Linked DNA regions of Drosophila melanogaster. Changing the gene in region 3 together with the main gene of any one other region gives a genetic interaction. Each region holds a gene or a part of one and is shown on either strand. Other genes may lie near its edges. The genes, in order: kay, Syx7, hep and Pvf1.

Evidence for each region.
Region 1: of hep (region 3) and kay, changing one suppresses a phenotype caused by changing the other (phenotypic suppression), as found in Drosophila melanogaster (2 studies listed by BioGRID).
Region 2: of hep (region 3) and Syx7, changing one suppresses a phenotype caused by changing the other (phenotypic suppression), as found in Drosophila melanogaster (one study listed by BioGRID).
Region 4: of hep (region 3) and Pvf1, changing one enhances a phenotype caused by changing the other (phenotypic enhancement), as found in Drosophila melanogaster (one study listed by BioGRID).

The regions. Positions count from the first base shown.
Region 1 is NT_033777.3:29,787,186-29,794,623, forward strand, and holds kay (kayak), read left to right. Parts: upstream 1-1,750; 5' UTR 1,751-2,967; coding exon 2,968-3,669; intron 3,670-4,207; coding exon 4,208-4,535; intron 4,536-4,601; coding exon 4,602-5,839; 3' UTR 5,840-6,928; downstream 6,929-7,438. UniProt on the Drosophila melanogaster protein: Developmentally regulated transcription factor AP-1 binds and recognizes the enhancer DNA sequence: 5'-TGA[CG]TCA-3'. May play a role in the function or determination of a particular subset of cells in the developing embryo.
Region 2 is NT_037436.4:21,444,020-21,448,629, reverse strand, and holds Syx7 (syntaxin 7), read right to left. Parts: upstream 2,797-4,610; 5' UTR 2,607-2,796; intron 2,470-2,606; 5' UTR 2,376-2,469; coding exon 2,255-2,375; intron 2,188-2,254; coding exon 2,118-2,187; intron 1,768-2,117; coding exon 1,623-1,767; intron 1,550-1,622; coding exon 1,133-1,549; intron 1,075-1,132; coding exon 979-1,074; 3' UTR 502-978; downstream 1-501. Other genes in the region: Alp1 (alkaline phosphatase 1), read left to right, coding at 3,880-3,955, 4,530-4,610.
Region 3 is NC_004354.4:13,087,404-13,092,317, reverse strand, and holds the start of hep (hemipterous), read left to right. Parts: upstream 1-1,883; 5' UTR 1,884-2,541; coding exon 2,542-2,959; intron 2,960-4,914. Other genes in the region: lic (licorne), read right to left, coding at 1-34, 97-229, 316-706, 777-835. UniProt on the Drosophila melanogaster protein: Required for the epithelial cell sheet movement called dorsal closure (DC), which allows establishment of the dorsal epidermis. Controls the expression in the dorsal epithelium edges of another dorsal closure gene, puckered (puc).
Region 4 is NC_004354.4:18,830,770-18,835,715, forward strand, and holds the start of Pvf1 (PDGF- and VEGF-related factor 1), read left to right. Parts: upstream 1-1,912; 5' UTR 1,913-2,177; intron 2,178-4,946. Other genes in the region: CG7101 (uncharacterized protein), read left to right, coding at 1-374, 454-1,031.

The DNA.
Region 1 (7,438 bases), on a different chromosome or scaffold from region 3:
AAGTTTTTTGTTTTTTTTTGTGCCGTCATTACGTCATTGTCAGGCTAAAATTGGTCTAAAAATAGCCCAACACGTCAGCTGAAAGCAGAAGGCAAAGTCTCGGGCCCGAGAATTTCTTAGCCACTCAACTTGTTGCATCTTCACCTTCCTCCTCTGCCCAGCGTTTAAAAACATGTGAATGTGTTTTTGAACTAATTAGAGCCAAGGTCAAAGTTGATGGTCTAATCAAAATGATAGCGCGGATTTACAGGCAATTGATAAGTTTGAGTTTTCAGGGAATTCCTTTGGGAAGTGGCAATTTTTAGGTTTTGAAATATTTTTGTAAGTTGCAGTCACCATACATTTATTTAGGGGCCACTTTGGTTTGGCTTGAACCGCCCGCAAATCAAATTTGCAGCAGTCGCGTGTATTAGTCAGCAATTTGTTGCTTTTCGCTACGTCAGTGTTTTACTTTTTCTTTTTTTTTTTTACTCTCCACTGCTGGCTGTTCGATGTTCGCTGCTCGTTTCATTTGGTTCATAATTGACCCCCAGATGTGAACTCGGTGTCCGGAGATATGACTCTGTCCAACGTTCCGATAGGAGAATCGAGATCGCCATCCGAGCTGGCTGGCAAGCAATTTAGACAATTCAATTCGCCGCGCTTGATTGCCAGCATTCTATATCATCACTTGTTTTGCATACGTACATTTTCCAAATTGACTGATTCATCATCGGCTAAATGCGGTTCATGTTCGCGAGGGACAAGTTCAAATGGCAAAAAAGTGGGTTAAAACGAAAGTAGCCAGCCAAACAAAGGTGGCCAAACAGCCAAGGCGGCCGAGTTGAAAGTAAATTTCGCATACGAAATTAAAAAGTAAATATATCACAAAGAATAAAATCGATTGTTTGCTGTCAATAAGGGAACGGCCTTTGGGATTGGGAAACACGGCTGCGATAAGATCGTCAAATAAATAAGCACACAAGCCGCTCGAACTCGCTGCACGGAGAGAAAAGAAGGCATACTACTTCAAAAATGTAGCCCCAGTGCAACTGGTATGTGTGTGTGTGTGTGTTGCTCTTAGCCCACAACAAAAGCCAGCAATTAGCGTATTGGCCAACTTGCTGGCGACGGAAATAAACGCTCTTGGCGAGACAGGGGGTCTGAACTGAACTGAACTGAACTGAAAACATAGTTAATGTGGATGTGCCACACGCACACACCTGTTCGTGGGACATCTGTCGAATCGGACATGTGTATATATGTATGTAGCTTATGTTTACTCGGAATCATCGCTTTTGGCCAAAACATTGGGCCTGATTTATGGGCAACTGAAAGGCTTTTCCGTGGAAGCGAAGAATGAGCCTCTGGCAAGTTCGGCAAATCGGAAGCAGAAGCATATACATATGTACATAAGCCACCACCACATTCTACTATAGCTAACTAAATGTACATATTTCGCTTTGAATGCGGCAAAAGCGAGCGTGGTCGTCGTGTGGGCAGCCGCTCAATTAAGAGCAGCCAGCGTTTAGGATCATTTGATTTCCCAGCGGCTGTCTTCTAATTTGAGCAGCCAGCTCGCACAACACACGCCCAGCAGACAGCAGACAGCTCTCCGGATTCGGATGCGGGTTCGGGTTCTCTAGTAGTTCTCAAGATATATAAATATATATATGATATGTATATATATACATATATATGCATACATCTGCGGCGATCTCTCGATCGCGATCGTTGCCAATTTCGCTCGCCGGAGATTCTGATGCGATTCAGTCGCAAACGAACAACGAACCATCGAAGTTTAGAAAATATCTAACAATTAAAAGCGATCGCGCGCGCGCTTTTCCTCGAATCGCATCGCATCGAATCGAAACGCGAAACTCAAACAACGAAACGAAAATAAATTTGGAAAACTGCAATTGTCGTTGGGTTTTCGGTGCGCGTGCATTGCCAAAACGAATCAGGAGCAAAAAAAACGAATCAGTCGGCTATATGTACATATATACATATAGACGCAAAACAACGCACATTTCTCGGCTGCAAGCGCGTGGATCGAAATATATATGCCATACGAATATACATATATATATATATATATATGTAAATATAGCCAAACCCAGAAATAAAAGCGCAAAGGGAGGCATAACACTCGCTGTGTTGAGAGGCGTTGCCCATGGCCGAGGAATTTCTGAATACAACAAATGCAGCATTAATTGAACTAGCTCAAGGCTCCATGTCCGTGTAAATCTCTATAATTATATAATAATCGAATTTGCGGCTCACACAGTGGAGCGACTTAAACTGGACACGTGTCGCTGGATTTTGGGCCTCGCACACTTACGATAAACTGCGTCGATTATGAGCGCTTTCGCCGAGCGGAATGTGCGTTTCAATCCTTTGCGAAATCAGCAAACGCTTATCGTTAAGCGGCTGAGACCGCCGGAGAGCCAAAACTTCAAGAACTGAGCAATCGAACAACGAACATATACGAAATCTGCTCACGGCTCGCAGCTAGCAAGAAGTCAAATCAAACGAACCCTTTTTCTTTATTAGGAAAGAGCCAACGCAGAAAGCAAACGAAATACACAATACACACAAAAAAAAGAAGCTATGAAACAAAGCCAAAAACGAACGAATTTCTAAGCAACTAGAACAACACTGCGACAACAAACAGCATAGGAGCATCCAAACGAACGGAATTATAAAGACAAGAAAGGATCATCAGCACATTGTTAGGAAACTTTGGGAACAGAGTCCCAATTTGTACATATACTCTAGTTTAGCTAGTAACTAGATTCTTAGATTGTTGAATTGTTTTTGTTGATTTTGAATACAATTCGCATATATCATTGTTGTCCCAATTGTTGTGTTAGCTTAGCTAGGCTAAGAACCCCAACGAATACTAGTCAGCCGCCCAACTGTGCGTATACGCAACGCGAGTGCGTATACTTAATATTTAGGTTTAGATCGATAAGCAGCGAACAAATGATGAAAAATCTCAACGGTAGGACGCACAATGCGTGCTACCATCCCTACTACCACCAATCGCTGCATTTTGCTCAGCAGCAGCAGCAGCAGCAGCAGCATCATCTGCAGCAACAGCAGCAACATATGCAGCAGCAGCAGCAGCAACAGCAAGCGCCGCAGCAACAGTTGCGTCATCAGCAACGGCAACTGCCCACGCAGCCAGCCTACCAGCAATCGCAATCGGTTGCCCACAATGCTTTTCCACTGCGCAGCAGCAGCAACAATTATGGCCATGTTGCTAGCAGCGCCTACGCTGCCAGCAGCGGCAGTCACAACAGCAACAATGCGGCTGCCATGGCCGCCGTCTGCCAAATGCAGAATTTTTTCAACCAGCAACAGCAGCAGCAGCAGCAACTGGAGTTCAACAACAATTGCATGCCCATTAATTACTACCAGCAGCAGCAGCAGCAACATTACCCTTCCGAGTCCCAGTCCTCCGCCTCCGGCTGGAATCCCGAAACCCCTGGGCAGGCGCAACTCGCCTTGACGGCCACAACATGCAACACCACTGCAGCTGCAACATGCAACACCACTGCAGCTGCAACAACGAGCACAACTGCAACATCTGCTGCCGCTGGCAGCGACAACAACCACAGCGACAACTTTGCAATGGACGCCAGTGAGATAGCCACTTTCCTCGCCAACGAGCTTTTCCTACAGCAGGTACCACAGATCGATCGATGATGATGCCTCCGATTCTGGTCGAGATTGGGATAGATTTGGGCGCGAAACAATTGGCAAGCGGCATGCGTACTTAATCATCGCCGAAAATAGAACAAATGCGGAACAACAAAGGGGTGGGCAAATATAAACAAAGTGATGGATTGGCCGCCTCTCTTTCGGTTTCTTCATCTCTCTTCGCCTCTTTTTTTTTCGTTTTTTGTTTGGCCAAAAACACGTTCGCTAATTCGCTAGAAATGTACGGATAAGCAAGAGGTCTTACAGACTTAGCAATAGCTTTTGATGTTGACTGATATCTGAACTCGACCCAAATTACTCATGTGATAAGAATAAATTCCCAAACATCCTTAAGCTATTCGCGGGCAACACTGCGTATGCGTGATATATGTATACTGATATGGCATTGTAGAGGGTTTCGTGCTTGTCATGAGCTTTAATGAGCGTTAATAGTAATCCATCTTCTCAGATACTTGCACTCATAGATGTCTTTACTAATCATGCACCTTTTCTGCTCTTGCAGCTCGGCAACTTTGAGACCGGCCAGAGTGTTCTCACACTGACGACGCCCACGTTGACGCCGACCACCACGCGCAACATCGAGGACACACTGGGCCACTTGCTCTCGGACACGCAGACCGATCGTGTGGCTGGTTGCGCGGGATTTGCAGTGCCAAAGGTGCTACCCAATGCCATTGATGTCCTGGGCATGGGTATTCCCACCGGTGTTTCGTCGCTCCCACTTCAGCAGACATTCGATTTGAGCCTGGGGCAGGGCAGCGAGTCCGAGGACTCCAACGCTTCGTACAACGATACGCAGATGAACGAGGAGCAGGACACGACCGATACTTGTAAGTGAAGCTGGCACGAATTGCTCCGAATGTCTACTAACTCCCTTTTATTTCATACGCCTGCAGCAAGTGCCCATACGGACAGCACCTCGTACCAAGCTGGCCACATCATGGCGGGCAGCGTGAACGGCGGCGGTGTCAACAACTTCTCCAATGTCCTGGCCGCCGTGAGCTCTAGCCGCGGATCGGCGTCGGTGGGCAGCAGCAACGCGAATACCTCAAATACGCCGGCTCGTCGTGGCGGTGGCAGACGCCCCAACCGGTCGACGAACATGACCCCGGAGGAGGAGCAGAAGCGGGCCGTGCGCCGGGAGCGGAACAAACAGGCGGCGGCCCGTTGCCGCAAGAGGCGCGTGGACCAGACCAACGAGCTCACCGAGGAGGTGGAGCAGCTGGAGAAGCGGGGCGAGAGCATGCGCAAGGAGATCGAGGTGCTGACGAATAGCAAGAATCAGCTGGAGTACCTTCTGGCCACCCACCGGGCCACCTGCCAAAAGATTCGCTCCGACATGCTGAGCGTGGTCACCTGCAACGGTCTGATTGCCCCGGCCGGACTCCTGAGTGCAGGGAGCAGCGGCAGCGGCGCGAGCAGCCATCACAACCACAACAGCAACGACAGCAGCAACGGCACGATTACGGGCATGGACGCCACGCTGAACTCCACCGGGAGGAGCAATTCACCCTTGGATCTCAAGCCGGCGGCGAACATCGATAGCCTGCTGATGCACATCAAGGACGAGCCACTCGATGGCGCCATCGACTCAGGATCCAGCCTGGACCAGGACGGTCCGCCGCCCAGCAAGCGCATCACCTTGCCGCCCATGTCCACGATGCCGCACGTTCACTTGTCCACGATATTAACGCCCACCGGCGCCTCGTCGGGATCTCTGCAGACGCCGATCACGAGCACGGCGCCCGGCGGATTCGGCAGCGCCTTCCCGGTGACCTCCAACGGCAGCAGCATCAACAACATCAACAGCATCGGCAACAACATGAACTCTCCCACGCTGAATGCGCATAACAAGGTGCCTAAGGAGCGGCCCAATACGCTGGCTTTCCAGCGTCCTCTGGGCCAGATGCACCTCACCATGGCCAACAACAAGGCGGGTGGGCCCACGCAGATCCAGGGCGTGCCCATCCAGACGCCCTCGACCGGCACCTTCAACTTCGACTCCCTGATGGACGGCGGCACTGGGCTAACGCCCGTCTCCGGACCCCTCGTACCGAACAGCTCCTCCACGAACAAGCACCCGCTGGAGCTGCCCACGCCCACCGCCGAGCCGTCCAAGCTGGTCAGCTTATAACCGGACCGGATCTGGGACGGGGATGGGGGCCGAGTCAGGATTAAGTTAAGTTTTATATAGTTGGCAGGCAAACAACGGAAGGAAACCGCGAAGCACTTTTCTAGTTGTAGGAGATGTTTTCATTTTTGTAATATGCTGTAATATGCGTAAACGTGACGAATGTGTTGTTTCGTTAACTCTAATGTTTTTGTATTATTATCTTTATTATGGTTAATTTATGATTTCGCTATGTCTTTTACATACGCCGAGGAGCTATGTACATATGTTATGTACTTGTAATTTGTGCAATTTTCAAACCTCTTCATTGCGCGTTGTATATTTTCAAAAAATATAAGAACGCGAACGCGAACGCGAACGACCGACGATGCATGATGAGAATGATAAGGATAATGATGATAATAGGGCGTGTAGATTTGCAGGATGCGTTGTGATATTTATTATAAAACGAATACAAAAGATGCGAGGATGAAACAAAGTAGAAAGCAAACAGGAGCGTCTAATGAAAGGAACTAAGCCGGTTTTAAAATTGTACATTTAAACGAATCGTAAAGCGTAAATATACTATAAAACAAAACAAAGTGAATATATATTCAGCATACAAACTAAATACAATGCCTTGAGAGAGAATTAAGAAATGCAAACCTTTATATATAGAGATCTACATACATATATGTATGCATGTACATTTAAAGCTAAACAATAATGGCGTTGAAGCGAGTTTTATATTGAGCAAAAGCAAATGTGAAATGAGATAAATATACTTATTGTGTACTCTGTAAGCTGCAGTAGAAACCAAAATATATTTTTACTAAACGCAACATTGCGCTATTTTCAAATACCATTTATAAGAAATGACAAAAGCAAAGCAATTATTTAATATGTAATTATGTATTATGTATACCTATATCTACCTACCCACAACCTTAAATCAAAAAACCCAAAACGATTCAACAAAAGCTGATCAGGTAAAGCAACTCTCGCCAGTTTCCACACTAAATTCTCAGAATATTCAAAATTTTAATCTATACAAAACCAAACCGATTGATAGCAAATAAATGCACTTATAAGGGCAGAAAAACACCAAAATTTAAAAATGAAATGGAATAAAATAGAAATAAAAAGACCGACAAAACCTAAAGACGATTTGTGGAATTATTTCTGAAGTTATAGCGATTCACATGACTTGCAAATGGGCTGGCTCGTCGTCAGGTAAACATATCAGGTAGATTAGGGTGGACCAACAAAGGCTGCATTCTCAATTTCTGCAGACTTCTTCAAGCGATTTGAAGTACTTACTTATGGAAGTAAACCTCATTGAGAAAATGGCTCTAATGTGAAAATGCGATCATTCAAGTTATGAAAACATTATGAGATAGAAACACCTAGTTGCTGCCATAAAGACCAGTCTGAAGGGCAGGTAAACGCAGCCGTGTTCTTCCACTCGTCTGATAATGGCACAAACGAGTATATATGTACATACAACACACGCTGCATATATTCATTTTCGGGTTTGCCTTATTTTGCATTTTTTTTTGTTTTTTTTGGGATCTGTTGCTTTCGGTGCAGCCACGAATCGCGGATCTCTGTTTCAGTTACTCG
Region 2 (4,610 bases), on a different chromosome or scaffold from region 3:
ATAAGAAGCCACCACACAAATGATGCCCAAACGAACTATCAATGTCAGTGAATTGGCAAAAAATTTAAACTCAATTTGTATGCAGGCCTGCGGAGCTGGAATTTCAAATGTGGAGGAAGATGGGGTCCGGCGACGAGGAAACCCTTTAGCCCCGGCTGACACACCTCAACGATGCAGCAAGCTGAAGTGGGTCCACCGCATCCAGGTCTGTCGCGGCATTAATGTGCCATCGGAGAGTGTGCGCTCGCTGAACACATAGTCGGATTGGTACCAATGTTTTGGGATCGAGATCGGGTTGGGAGTCGGGAGATGGGAGCTCCTAAGCCGCTAAAGCATGCGTAACAATGGCCAACACGAAATCTTAATGATCGCTAAGCCAAGGAGGAGTCGATGACCATGCACTTCTCCGAATGCCCAGAAGAGCTGGCGAGTTCCATTCATTGATTCATTCAGGTCGGGCCCTAAATGAAGTGCTCCAAGTGTTTTCAACGCACGCAGGATCGATTTTCATGTTTATTATTTCATTTTTCGTACATGTGTGTATGCCATCGCATATATGGCTTCCTCTGCCTCTTAACTCTAAATACAATACAATACAATACAAAGCGCTGGCGAATGAGTTTCGGAACATAATTAGAATTTGAAGCCAACAGTTGTTAATCAATACTAATAATCAATATACAGGGTGCGTAATAATAAAAGTAGTACACATAAAATATAAAATTGTTTTTAAAGCAAATATAACAGATGCACGTGCCGGTGAATACTCCTCAAAACACTATATCTTCGTCTACGAGTCGCAGTTTTCGATTTCAGCCAGTATTGGAAGTTGGATTAAGGATTAAAGCCATAATCTCGCCTAAGGTCCAAAGGATTGGGTGGGGAATTACGGGGTTTAGGGGCCTGCATGCGGCAACTCTTGTCTTTTCACAACAATTTACTAGTTTGGTTTGAATCATTCGGAGATGCCGGAAGGCTCTAATTCTTGAACTGAAAAACGAGTATCAAGATGATGGCCAGCAGCACGGCGCTCAGGATGCCCACCAAAATAAGCTTCTTCTTGCGCACTTTGTTCTAATAAACAACATATTTAAATTATTTAAAATAATAACCTTGTAGGGGCGGCACTTACCCTGTAAGAGCTCGCCTTGCGCAGATTTTCCGTGCCCTGCGAGACAAAAATGCTAGTCTGTTCCACCTGCGACTCGATGGAGTCCACCGTCAGTCCCTGCTCGTAGACCAGGGCGCCAAGCTTCTTGTATATCTCGTTCACGCCCACGATGTTGTTCTCCAACTCCCGTATGACCTGCTCCTGTTCCTCGAGGGCCTGCAGGTCCGCCTGCTCCTCCATCTGAGTCTGCATCTGTTGCTGGTTTGATTTGCGATTGAAGAAGTTGTCCTCGAAGAAGGAGTTGTTGTCCTGCTGGCTGGCGCTACTGTTGGAGCTGCCGGTACGCGATGAGCCGGGTGGACGGGCGATGTTGTAGCTATCTCCGCGCGCCTGCCGCAACGCCGTCTTCTCTATGTCCGCCGTCTTGCGCTGAACAGACTAAAAATACCAATGATAAACAATCAGCATGACTCACAAAACCATTTGCTTATCTGGGAGAACAAAAACAAACCTGGAAGGCGGTCAGTGCCGCCGTGAACTCGTCCACGAGCCTATCCCGCTGGATCTTCAGGTGGCGCTCCTTGCACTTGTCCACCTCGTTGATTTGATTGTTTGTGTCGGTCACCAGCTGGTTGGTGTAGGTCATTATTTGGTGGCTGTGGAGTAAGGGATTGTTATTTTTATCGTGCGTTATACATTGATTTGATTTGTGAATCACACTGTGCTGATACGTTTAAACTTTCAAAACCAATGACTGACTACAATGTTATTTTGCTGTTGGTTTATGTGGTCGGTTGATGTGCGCAAAATGTATTAAAAGGCTGTATTGGCTTAAGAAGATTTTTAGACATTGTGAGTAAACACCCAATAGAGATCTTCACTATGTCTTTAGAATTTATGATTTGTCTGAGAGATATTCGAATAATCGATGTATATCTGCAATGGGTTCTATCTATGGGGACAGTTTAAATTCCAAACGAAGAGATCGTAATGATAATCATCTTACAGCTGCTTCTTGAGCTCCGGAGAATCTTGGGGCGTGTTCAGTTGATTGACCATGCGCTGCATCGTGGACACTGCGAAAGAGACAGAAACCTAGATTAGTCATAGGCGAAAGTTGGCAAGTGCTTCGACGCCACTCACCATTCTGCTGCACCTTCTGGATGCTGGTGGCTATAATCTGGGCCAGCCTTTGGAAATCTATTTCGCTTAGGCCACCTCCTCCCCCGCCGCTTAGACCATTCTCCATATGCTGTAAGTCCATGCTTTCGTAGGCAGACACTTTGATGACCTTCGAGTTATCGCTGGAGACAAGTTGTTCCTGGAGAGACAGACAATCGAATTAGCCCCGTGGCCCACTTATATCACATTCGCTTTTATGCGTCTCAGCCAGGTTCTTGATTCTATATTCTATATTCGTGCTTGTTTGTTAGTTTGTCTGTTTGTCGGAATGTTTGCAATTCGCATTCCCTTTGTTTGCTGCACAGCCACACACCTTTTGTGGTTGCCCTAGCTGTCGTTGGTGACCTTCGCCGGTGACCTTGATCTTAGAGCATTTCCTTCGCACTTTTTACGCGTTTCGCAATCTGAAATTTGTTGATTTAAGTAGGCGGAATGTTCGCAAAACTGAAATTTTAGCTAGGTTTTTACAACAATTGGAATGGAACTGCCAACTTGTGAGAAAGTCACTTTCGACTAATACCCAAAAGTGCCTTAGCGCGTGATGCGTTTAGCATCACTTCCTTGCTACGCTTTACAGCACTTCAATTATATCGATATCTGGCGCGGCATTCAAATAGCAGATATATAGAACTGCATTTTAATTATATTCTTCCCCCTATATTTTGTCTCGAAAATGTATATAAGTCCTGAGATTTATTATTGAAAATCGATCCATGTCTAAAATGAACTGCTTAATGTTATTATTCAAAATTATAAATTATTATTTTGCACTTTTTCTCCAAAATTAAAATGTTAGATTAGGAAAATGTCGTATAGAAATGAAAATGACCAACAATGATGCCTTATAAAACAAATAAGTCGAATTTTAGACAGTTTTCCTTCCGTTCAATAAATATGTTCATACCAAATTTAATAATAATGTAGGTATACAAAACTATTTTGCTTACCCAGAATGTTATTCAAAACTTAAAATTTAACATTGTACAACTCAGGGTATTTGAAACCTGTTTAGCAGAAATAAAATTGAAGATTATTACTTTTCTTAAAAAAGTCAAATAACTGGTAGACAAAATAAGTGCAACTCGTTTATAAAAAAAATCAAAAGCAACTTAATTCAAATTAACGTTACAAATTAGTGTATTGGAGATATTTATCAGTATCCGGTGTTTGGCACGGTTAATGAACTTTAGATCGCAGAATGAATTAGGCTGCTTCGATGCATCCACTAATTACATCATCTCCTACTGCGATGCAAGATATTATGCAAATGACCAATGCAACGAACCTGATTTTTGGAGAACATCATTTTAATCTAAGCTGTGCTGGCTGCATAATTTGAATAAGGGCATAAATGCCTTTCTTTCATCCCGAAATTCCGGTTGGTAGGTGTATTTAGAAGCTTTATAATACAGGGACGGGTTTTAATTTATTGTCTCAGTGTTTTTTTATAATTCGACTCGCATTTTCGGTCCCTGTCTTACCGGGCTCGTATAAATAAGCCTCCAACTGCGAAATGCGGCTTAGTCGATCCGTAGACTTCGTAACGCCCCGACCAGTCGAAAGTTAGTTCATCAAAATTCCGTGCGATGCGTGCTCTCCGGTTCTTTGCGGCTCTTGCCCTCCAACTCACGGCCTGTAGCAGCCAGTACAAATATGGGCCAGGTGCGTAACGTCAAGACCGAGATCAGAAACGGGCCCAAAAGACCCGAAATGAATAAATGAAAAACGAGTGAGAGTGTGCCAGGTCGAAAGCAAACTCAAAACATATGCAGAATTGATTAATCAAGTGCTAAACGGAGTATAAAAGGCGTCAGCAAAATACTCGTAAATTGAATTAAATATTTGACACCCGCTAACAGAGCTGTCAAACATCACTTTTTCCGAAGGAGAATGTTTTAACGAAAGTGGATATAAGACTAATACTTTAAAATTTAAATTTGAATTAATTTTAATGCTTAATTTCCATAGGTTTCTTTCGGTGTTTTATTTATGTGCTATCTTCTGAAAGCAATTTCCCTTTTTAATGATTAATTCGAAAGTGGAGTGGAAAACAATGGCAATTGTGTCTGTGCTTTTGTTTTGTAAAACGAAACATGTGCTTGGAATTGATAAATTCTTGAGGTTGTACTTGAAATGTGTATGCATATCGGCTAGTAACAAAAAATGGTTTCAATTAATCAGAATAATATGCATTCTTAATTTATAATGAAATAAGCTAAAATCGCATTACTTTCAGAGCAATCCTGGGACCTCGACTCTATTTCCGAGTTGAAGAGCAAGGAGTTCTGGTTTCACGACGCCCAGCGCACGCTCTACA
Region 3 (4,914 bases):
TCAATGGTTTTGGCAATGGAGTCGACGAGGTAGCCTAAAAGTCAGTCCAATATTAGAATGATTACAGTGGCAAGAAGTCACAGAATGCCAGCCCACCTGAGATGCCAAAGTCACAGATCTTGACCTGGCCGGCCCGATTGATCAGTATGTTCGAGGGCTTGACGTCCCGATGAATGACTTTCAGTTGAGCGTGCAGATAGTGCAGCGCACTGACCACGCTCATGGCAATCTGTAAAGCAAAGGCAGTAGTACGGTAATAGTATAGTGGCGATTGCCCGATAAGATTAGACCCGCCCCCAATCCTCCCCAGCTGACCTTGCCCAGCACGCTTTCCTCCATTCGCAGATCGTGAAGGAAGACCTTCGGATAGAACTTGTCCAGGCTGGTGCTCATCACCTCCATGCAAATCCAGACATCGCCCTCGCGATACATCGCACCATAAAAGTGGACGGTGTAGGGGCAGTCGCTGGATCTCATCGATATGTCCAAATCCATTACAAGGCGGTGCTGTTCTCGAATATTTACGGTCATGGGTATGCGTTTGACGGCCAGGACCGTATCGGTTTGCTTATGGCGCATCTTATCCACGATGCCATAGGCGCCACGGCCCAGATCGCAGATCTTCTCGAGACTATCTGCATCGATGTCAAAGGTCCGGTCGCCAATTTGGATGGTGGCCCGCGAGTCCAGGTTGCGTGGCGGGACTCTAAAAGGATTGCCGAATGTAGTTCAATTCACAATTCGTTTCTGGCCAGGATTTGACCATTTTGACTTACATGGCGGCCTCTGGCTCCTTGGCAATGGTAAAGGGCGTGAGGCGGTGGCGTTTGGACATTTTGGTAGGCCCTTCTATATCCTATATCCTATATGCTATATGCTATATATACCCTCTCCTCTCCACGACTTTCCTTGGTGTTTTCTGGCGGATTCTGCAAGACTTGGCGGTTCGGTGCGAATCGGATGCGATGCGGTGCGGCTATTTTTACCGCATTTGGTCAGGTCAGGATTCGGATGCGGGTCGGTGATATGGGGATCGGATCGGTGTGGATCGTGTGGCCCGGGTTTTGCCGCCCAACCTTTCGCTATTGCCTTTGCTTTCCTTTCCGCACTTTTTGCACTGTTCACCGATCGCTTTTCGCTTCTCTTCTCGTTTTTCTCTCTTTTCCACTAGCGCTGGCCAGCCGCAGTTGGTCCTATCGATATATCCCAACGAGTGCAGCTATAGTATCGTCATACAAATAAATCGAAGTGCCTCGATAATAAATTTGCTTCCACCTGCAACGAATTTAGATAATTAAGTTAGGTATCGATTATATCTATATCTCTTTGTAAGCCTTCTAGAAAGTTGTTCCGTATATTCTTCATACCTATTTTTTAATGTTTGTTTATTTTCTTTAATTTTTTATTTATACATTTATAGACATTTATTTTAAGGGAAAACTTAATAAGTTCTAGCCAAGTGATGCCCATCTTAAGTTGCATTTCGGTATATTTATGATTCTTTTTAGCACTTTGGTCACTCCGTTTTCGATACGTAATGTTGCAAGTTTGACTGAACATATAGAATTCGATGTTTTAGAATTGTACTAAAATAATTTATTATTTTATTAATTAATAAATAGGTAGACCTTATATTATTATTTTAAGTACAAGAACAACGAAGTCTCTCGAATCGACCAATTTGAATTTGAAAAATCTATTATAGTTATATTATATTTGTATGAAATATCCTCTGAAAATTATTCTATCTCGGTAAAATAAAATCCTACATAGTTTTAGATGCCGTTCCTAGTTCGAAAACTGTTTCTGAGGTGCCGATGTTTTGCAAACCATCGATAGGCACGAAAAAAGATATTAAGAATTATCGGCGAAGAACCATCGATGGCTGATGCATCGATGTTTTTTTACATCACTATTGTACACGCGATTTAGGCAGCAAAAACGTACAAAAGCGAGTGATCAAATTGTGCCAGTGATACCGCCGCCCGCGGTCGCGAAACGAATCGATTGCAGAAGTGCGACAAACAGCGCCGCGAAAGGAAAACAACCGATGAAATATTCTCCCAAAAAAGGAGGAAAAAATCGCAAGTTGTTGTTGCCGTTGCTGCTGAAAAAGAAAGAGAGAGAGGGCGCTGCGTGTATGCCTGTGTGTGTGCGTGTGTGGGGGTGAGGATGTCTCTCTCTAATGCACAGTGACTGTGTTTTCCTTTTTTCGATTTTGTTTTTGTGCCCCCCCTTGGCAAACAACAAAAGTCCAAGCAATCCTTTATTTTTGCAAGTGTAAAGTTTACAGTGTATGTGTGCCGCCGAACAACAACAACATCAGCGACAAAACAAACAGGGCGCACAGCAAAACAATTCACACACACACGCACCCTCCCCCGCCTGCGCGCGCTTGTGTGTGTGTGAGAGAGAGGGAGTGAGTGAGAGGAAAATCGAAGAAGTGCTGGCCAAAAAACGGCGAAAAAAATTTAATAAATACCAAAATCCAACGATACTAGCAACTAACTATAAAAAATCGAACCAAATCGACTCGATATAATGTCCACCATTGAGTTCGAAACGATCGGCAGTCGGCTGCAATCCTTGGAGGCAAAGCTCCAGGCGCAGAATGAGTCCCACGACCAGATCGTCCTCTCCGGTGCGCGCGGCCCTGTCGTTTCCGGTTCCGTTCCATCTGCCCGCGTCCCGCCCCTGGCGACATCCGCATCCGCAGCCACATCCGCCACCCACGCACCTTCCTTGGGCGCAGGTTCCGTTTCCGGATCGGGTATCAGCATAGCCCAGCGTCCAGCACCTCCAGTTCCTCATGCGACGCCCTTCGGCAGCGCCAGCGCCTCGTCATCATCCTCATCCGCATCCGCATTTGCATCCGCAGCACCGGCGACGGGCACCTTCGGTGGAACATACACCCCGCCGACAACTAGAGTGTCGCGAGCCACGCCCACACTGCCCATGCGTAAGTCCTCTTTTCGTTAACTTCCTACTAAATCTTTAATATATAAAATTAATTGGGATCAACTAGAAAAACACTGTAGTTACCTGAATCTTTGAAAATCGTTGAAGAAAAATATAACAAAATATAATGTCACAACTAAACTCCATGTACCAGGGAATACTCTAAACCGCTATCTAAAAATGATAGCTTATCAAACTGCGTACTGTAACTCAAAATTTTCCAACGAGACTTTCCCGATTCGAATATTCGATAATTCTCTACTTTCGAAAGTAAATCGTTGTCGAAAAACAGTTTTGGCCGCCAAAAACGTGGTAAAACTTTCCAAGTAAATTTCCAAACGCACAAACAACATTTTTGATATTAATTCGCAGAAAGATCAATGTTTTATCGATCGAACATTAGACAGGTGAAATCTTTATTGATCCTCTGTGACAGGTGTGGATTTAAGCCAACATTTCTCTGACCGCAACTGTAGACAGTTTGTTAAGTGGTAATAAAAGTGGGCTGAGAAAAATCGTGATCCCCAAAAATGGTCACCAAAAATCTATATATACCGTACCGCCAACCGCAAGCCACAAAACCATCTTTTGTCCGCATTTGTGTAAATATTTTGTTAATAAATTGTCATTGCCCAATAAGCTGTGTATGTGCGCGTGTGTGTGTGTACATACATGTATGTGTGCTTAAATTGTGATAAGAGAAGTGCTCTTTTCTTGGCTTTTCCCATTGCTATTGCCATTGGGTTTACTTTGGAGCATTTGGATGCCGCCAACAAAGGGCAAACGCTATCGATTCCCCGACTGCATAACAGCTGCTCATAATCCCCCATTCCAGCACCTCAGCAGCGCCCCGTCAACCCCGTAGCTCTGCCGCTTTTCCCCCCCTCCGATTTCCCGTTCTGTTTTTCCGATTGCATAGATAAGACAGGCCAAGTGCGAACACCAAAAGCGTACCCAACTTGTTTTCGGCCTTTTGTTGGGCCAAACAAAAATAAAAAGAAGTCAAATCTACAGTGGTATTAACAGCTGTGAACCGCGTCAATTTATTTTCGCCTCGATTAGATTAACAATTCCTGGTACCATAACTGTTTGATACATGAACCCCAGAAAATGCCTAATGGGTTTTTGAATAATCAAATACATTTCGATTCGATTAGATTAGTAGTGGTTAATAGTTTCCGCGAATTTCAGGGGTACTTAAAATCACACCCAAATTTTAACAGTGTAATCAGCTATTGAATAGATTTTCAAGTTCGTGGTACATAATGAGCGAGCAAAAGTTAAATGAATAAATAGCTAACAAAATATAACGGTCTATATGTTAATTTATCAGAACAAAATTGGTTTATTAAAGACAAAAGTTGTCGTTATTCGATTATTTATGAGGCTTAAATTGATAGAAATTTTAAATTTTTCATGTAAGAGATGACGTTATTGTGCCCACGGTTGTGAGACCACCCACCGCCTTTTTTCGTTTCTTTTCCCCTTCCTTTTGTTATACATTTAAGTTTTTGCATATTTGTCTTGTATATTTTTCTTATTGGATTTTCATCTGCCATCAAGTGTTGTTATTTATTTACTTACATACTTTTTATTTACTTTTTGCATGTGTGCGTCTCTCTACTCGCGTTTGGTGCTCTCTTCCTCTCTCGCTCTCCGCCATTGGTTACTTTTTGGCATTTCCGGAGTAATGTCTTGATATGCCCGTTACTGTTGTTGTCATTTTTTTTGGGCCTCACATATTCCCACCTCCGCCGCACCCTGCCCACATTCGTTCATCGGACATTGTGCCGTGTCTCCTCTTTCGCATGTTTACAAATAGCGTTATTTTTTATGACGTGCTGTTGTTGTAGTGGCTAATTGTTGAATTGAATTGCTGCCAGGGAAAAAAAAACTTCGCAAACAAAAACAAAATCGCTCTCATTCGCTCTTCCTCTTCATGCACACACACACACA
Region 4 (4,946 bases), 5.7 Mb from region 3:
TTGTTTTGCGGAGTTCTCTCGTCATCTGGCCGCCAAGCGGCACGAGCAGCAGTGCTCCGTCAGGGTGAGGCGTCTTTTCGTCTGCCCCCACTGCCTGACGCTTTTCGGCGAGGAGGCCCGGCTGGAGCGGCATCGGGAGCGAAAGCACAACGATGGCCAGTTCCTGTGCCTGCAGTGCGGCAAGAAGTACGCGTCAGCCACGTTTCTTTACCGTCATGTTGCCAGTTGGCACGGCCAGCAGTCGCTGTTCTACTGCGACATGTGCACGGACAACTGCAACGACGTTAAGACCTTTAGCGGGATGCTGGAGCTGCAGGAGCACGCCGAGGAGGTGCATCGCCTGCGTACCCTGAAGTCCACGGCCAGTGATGCAGGTAGGTATTCTGCTTACGAGTAGTTGTGATGTTAATGGCATACCCTGCTTAATAATACTATTCAATCCGATCCCTGCAGACAGCCAGGTTGATGAAATGGAGGATCTTGAGATGCTAGAGGAGAACATTGAGAACATACTGCCCAGCATCGACTGGGACGACGATCTCACCTTTGGCTGGCCCACCGACCTGGACAAGGAGTCGTGCATTGTGAACGCTAAGCCGAGCGTTTTCGTGTGTCCCTTCTGCGCCAACGGATTCCCCGGCAGTCTGAGCCTGGTGCGGCACCTGGAGCAGGTTCACGAACGCAGTGCCCTGGACTGCTGCTACTGTGGCAAGAGCCATGGCAGCCGAGAAGCCCTGCGGTCCCATCTGCAACGTGTTCACATCCTCTTGCGCGGTCATGTGTGCGGTATTTGCCAGGCGGACTTCGCCACTGCTGATCACCTAAAGAAGCACGTTAACAGTCTGCACCTGGACCACCGACCGCATCTGTGTCCCACGTGCGGAAAGAGATTCACCCAGCGGTGCCACCTCACCGATCACATAAAGACGGATCGCGGCCATGGACACGGCACTTACACCTGTGAATTCTGCGTGCGGCCCTTCTTCCGGGCCATCGATCTCGAACGGCATGTGTGTGAGGAACATCCGTAGGGCAGTCAACCTAGCCGGAATCGTAGATACCTGAGCGACATCTCACGTCCAGAACTACGATTAATATATACTTAAGCAATGGATAAATGTAACGTTTTAATAGCGTTAATATTTTGAATTTATATCCTAGTCATCGGAAATGTTTTTCCAAACGAACTTGAATTTAAAATCGTATTTTATTTTTTGCTGTAAAATTAATGCTTATGAGACGATTTACATTTACATCTTAGGAACTATAGACATAAGCGAATAGTTACTTTAATATAGCAAGCAGATGGCTGAAAGACAATGTACTTATATGAATAAAAAAATATCAATACATGAAGTCAGGTTAATAGAAACGGGCACAATTGAAATATTTTCTAAGGAAAGTTTGAAAGAATGAAAGATTGCCTAAAGAAAGTTTACAGATTATTGCTGCGTAGTGTTAACATAATGTAAAATGTCACACTAAAATGAATACTTTGAAAATAACGATGAAATAGTGCAGCTTTATGAGTAATATTTATCATCACCACAACACTGATTAATCAGATAATATACTCCATTTCCACCAATAGACAGATAATAGAATGTAACATATGTATTGTTCATGTTGCTCTATATATATTTAAATTTAAAATCTCAGCGAGCCTCCTGAGCGAGGGTGTGCGTAAGTCGAGATCGCGCTCTCCCAGCGTTAACTGTTAACAGTGAAACCCATCCGCTCCGCTCCAGGCCCCAAGATCGGGAGAGTAATGAGCGGAGCGGTTCGGTTCGGATTGGATGTGAGTGTTGCGGTACAGAGCGGAGAGCGCAATGCTGCGACAGCTGGGTACTGTTACTGTTACTGCAACAGTTACTGCTACTGCTATTGTTATTGGCGACTGTGGTGATAGGGGCGCAGTAACTTGGCCCACACCGACGAGTCGACAGTTTTGAACGGAACTTGCTGGTGCTTGGATCGCAGCTCCGCCGATCTCCGCGAGGCTAACACCACAAACTTAAACGCGCTCAAATATATATCACAAATTATTAAATACAAAACCCCCCATTTGTGCACACATATTTTTTGTTGTTTGTTTTTCGTTTCGTGCTAACCGATTTGTGCCATTGAACTTCGTGTAAAACATAATATTTAGAATTTTCAAGCCGTGTTTCCATAAAGTAAGTGGTGCTTCTCAAAATTTCAACATTTCAACACAAATCAGCAGCGTAAACAAACAAGCCAGCGACCCTCGACTACATCTAACATTTAAACTGAAACTGCTTTTTGTTATTGTTTATATGGTTTTCCACTTCTGCCCCACTAAAGCCGGGCCTTTTAAAAAGCTCTCCACAGCGCACAGCCTTTTGTTATATATATGTTTTTTTTCCCCAATAGCTTTCGAGCAAAACCAGAACACCATTTTATCATTAACAAATGCAAAAAAAAAAAAAACCAAACAAAACAAAAAAGTACAATTGCAATTAACGTTTTTTGATCTGGCTGTTGAGTTATTCCAGTGGCTGTGTGGAAAACCCAGTGAAAATGTTGCGCTTGAATTCCTAAAAACAAAGTCTAAGCCGGGCTTAATCGTTATTCAAATCAAACTACGTCAAATCGCGTGCGAATATAAGATTTGTGAATCACAAATGAAAGTGAACTTGGCTTAAATGTAGTCGCTGCCTTAAACTGCAATATATCAAGTTGTTTATGATCGAGTTATTGCGGATAAATCGTCAATAAAGTTCAATAAACTAATGCTGGCAATGTGTTCAAAGTTCCTGTTTTTTTTTTTTTTTTTTTAATTTATAACATTTTAGAACAAAAATGCCATTTTTAAGAAATAATTTATTTTGAAATGCACATTTGCGGGTTTTCATTAAAAGAAAACACGTTTAATGATAATGTTTGCTCACAAAAGTCACACATTATATATTATGTGATGAATATTAAAATATTATAGTAAACGTTTCTAATTATAACGTATATTGTATGAAACAACTGGAGAACTTTGATATCCTAGAAAGGAAACTATACCTTGAGCAAGTGACACCTTCACTAAACTTAAAAAAGAAAACAATTATTTTAGATATGCCCTAGTTTTTTAAAAACTTGTTCATATTTCCGCCTTCCAAAAGTTGAAATCGGTTAATCTTAGACTCGCATTCCAGACGTCGCCGTTGACCCGATCCCTTTGGGAGCCCTTTGGGAGCAAATCCATAATTTATCTTGTAGAGCTTGTAGAACCCACTGCCCATTGTCCATTGCCCATTGCCCTCCTGTTGGTCCAAGTTTTGTGTTTTCTTGTTTGTTGTTTGCTCTACTGCTCCCCCGTCTACATGGGCCCATGGATGCAGTGGAGTTATTATCATGTCTATATTGTAATTGATTTGCCTGAGCGAATGACCAGACGGGAAGACAAGCTATGGGCCTGTTCCCTGATCTGCCACGCCTCCGCCCGCGCCGCGCCCGCGGTCTTATCATTAACGCTTGAGTCTTCCTTTTGTATTGGAATTCTTGTGCGGGGAGCAATTGCCTGGCGGGAGGCACTCCCTTCGCGTAATTAAGGACCGCCCAAGTGGGGATCGCGATTCCGAGATGATTCCTTTTGGTTCCTCGCCTTCTCCTCCTTGAGATTACTTGATATGATTTGATATCTTCGGGTGACGCACCGGGAAGGAATGCCTCGAAAGTGTGAGAATAAATACAGCTGACACCTGCGCAAACTAAATACAGATCATATGGGTATCGTCTATCGACTATATGATACCTGAGGCATGGATATATGCATATGATAGCCTTATAAGTTTAATATTCCTAAAGAAAGCTTGTAAACAGTGGCTTGATTGCGTTTTTTGAAACTAAATGCTGATCAGATTTCGCCAAAGTTAGCATACCTTTTTTTAGTACAGGGTACTAAAAGCAATCAGTATGAGGAGTAACAAAAGCCTGTCGCTTTCGCAATAAGTACATATTCGCATTCATATATATAATTTAAAAACGTGCTTAATTTTGTAATCTGCCTTTCCCCCTTACCACTACTCCCATCTATCCGTCTCCCTGTGGTCGATCTGTAATATCTGCGCTGACGAAATGCCTCAGTAGCAACAACAACAAAAACAACAACAACTGATAACTGATAACTGACTAGACGCACAAGTTAACCGTTGAATCGGGTTAAAGAGACCTTCGATGTGACAGGTTGTGCAATCACCAGCGGCCCACCCGTCGAACGAACATCCTATAGAGGTTTTAAGAATCTGCATTATATTTTGAATCTTGTTTTCAGTTTGTAAGATCTATTGAAATTCTTTGCAGATAGATTAGTAAATTACTTGATATCTTTTTAATTCCAATTGAAAATTATTCCGAAACTGTTAAGCTAACAGCTGTTACTCCACACAAAGCTTGTGCAGCAGCCGCCAAAAAAAAAAATAAAAACAGAGCAACAACAACAAGACGGCACAGAGGAATGTCAAGATGAATCACACAGGTGTGCGTGACACCTGGCAACAGAGAAAGAGAGAGGGAGGGAGAGCGATGAAAAGAATAACAACGTTTGGTCTGTCATATCAATCGGTATTTGCTTAACTGTTAAAAAGAGCCAAGAAATGTAAGGAAAACAGAAAGGAAAACAATGATAGCTGAATTCCGTGTGCGTGTGTGTGTGTTGATTGCAGCCCACAAATAAACACTTGTGCACCCATTGCACCTAAAACGCAAGTGCAGAAACATACACACAAATTGAAACTCCCGAGGAGTACCGTTACAAGGCGAGCTTAAAGCTATTTTTAACACCATCCGATCTTGCTCTCCTTCCCCACCCCTTTCCACACCCCTCTTACCCATTCTGCTATCTCCTTTCCTGTGTTGTTTTTTGCACCACTTCTCACTTTGCTTTTCTTCGTCTTGCCCTCATACACTGCACGAAACCAGGATCACTTTAAAAC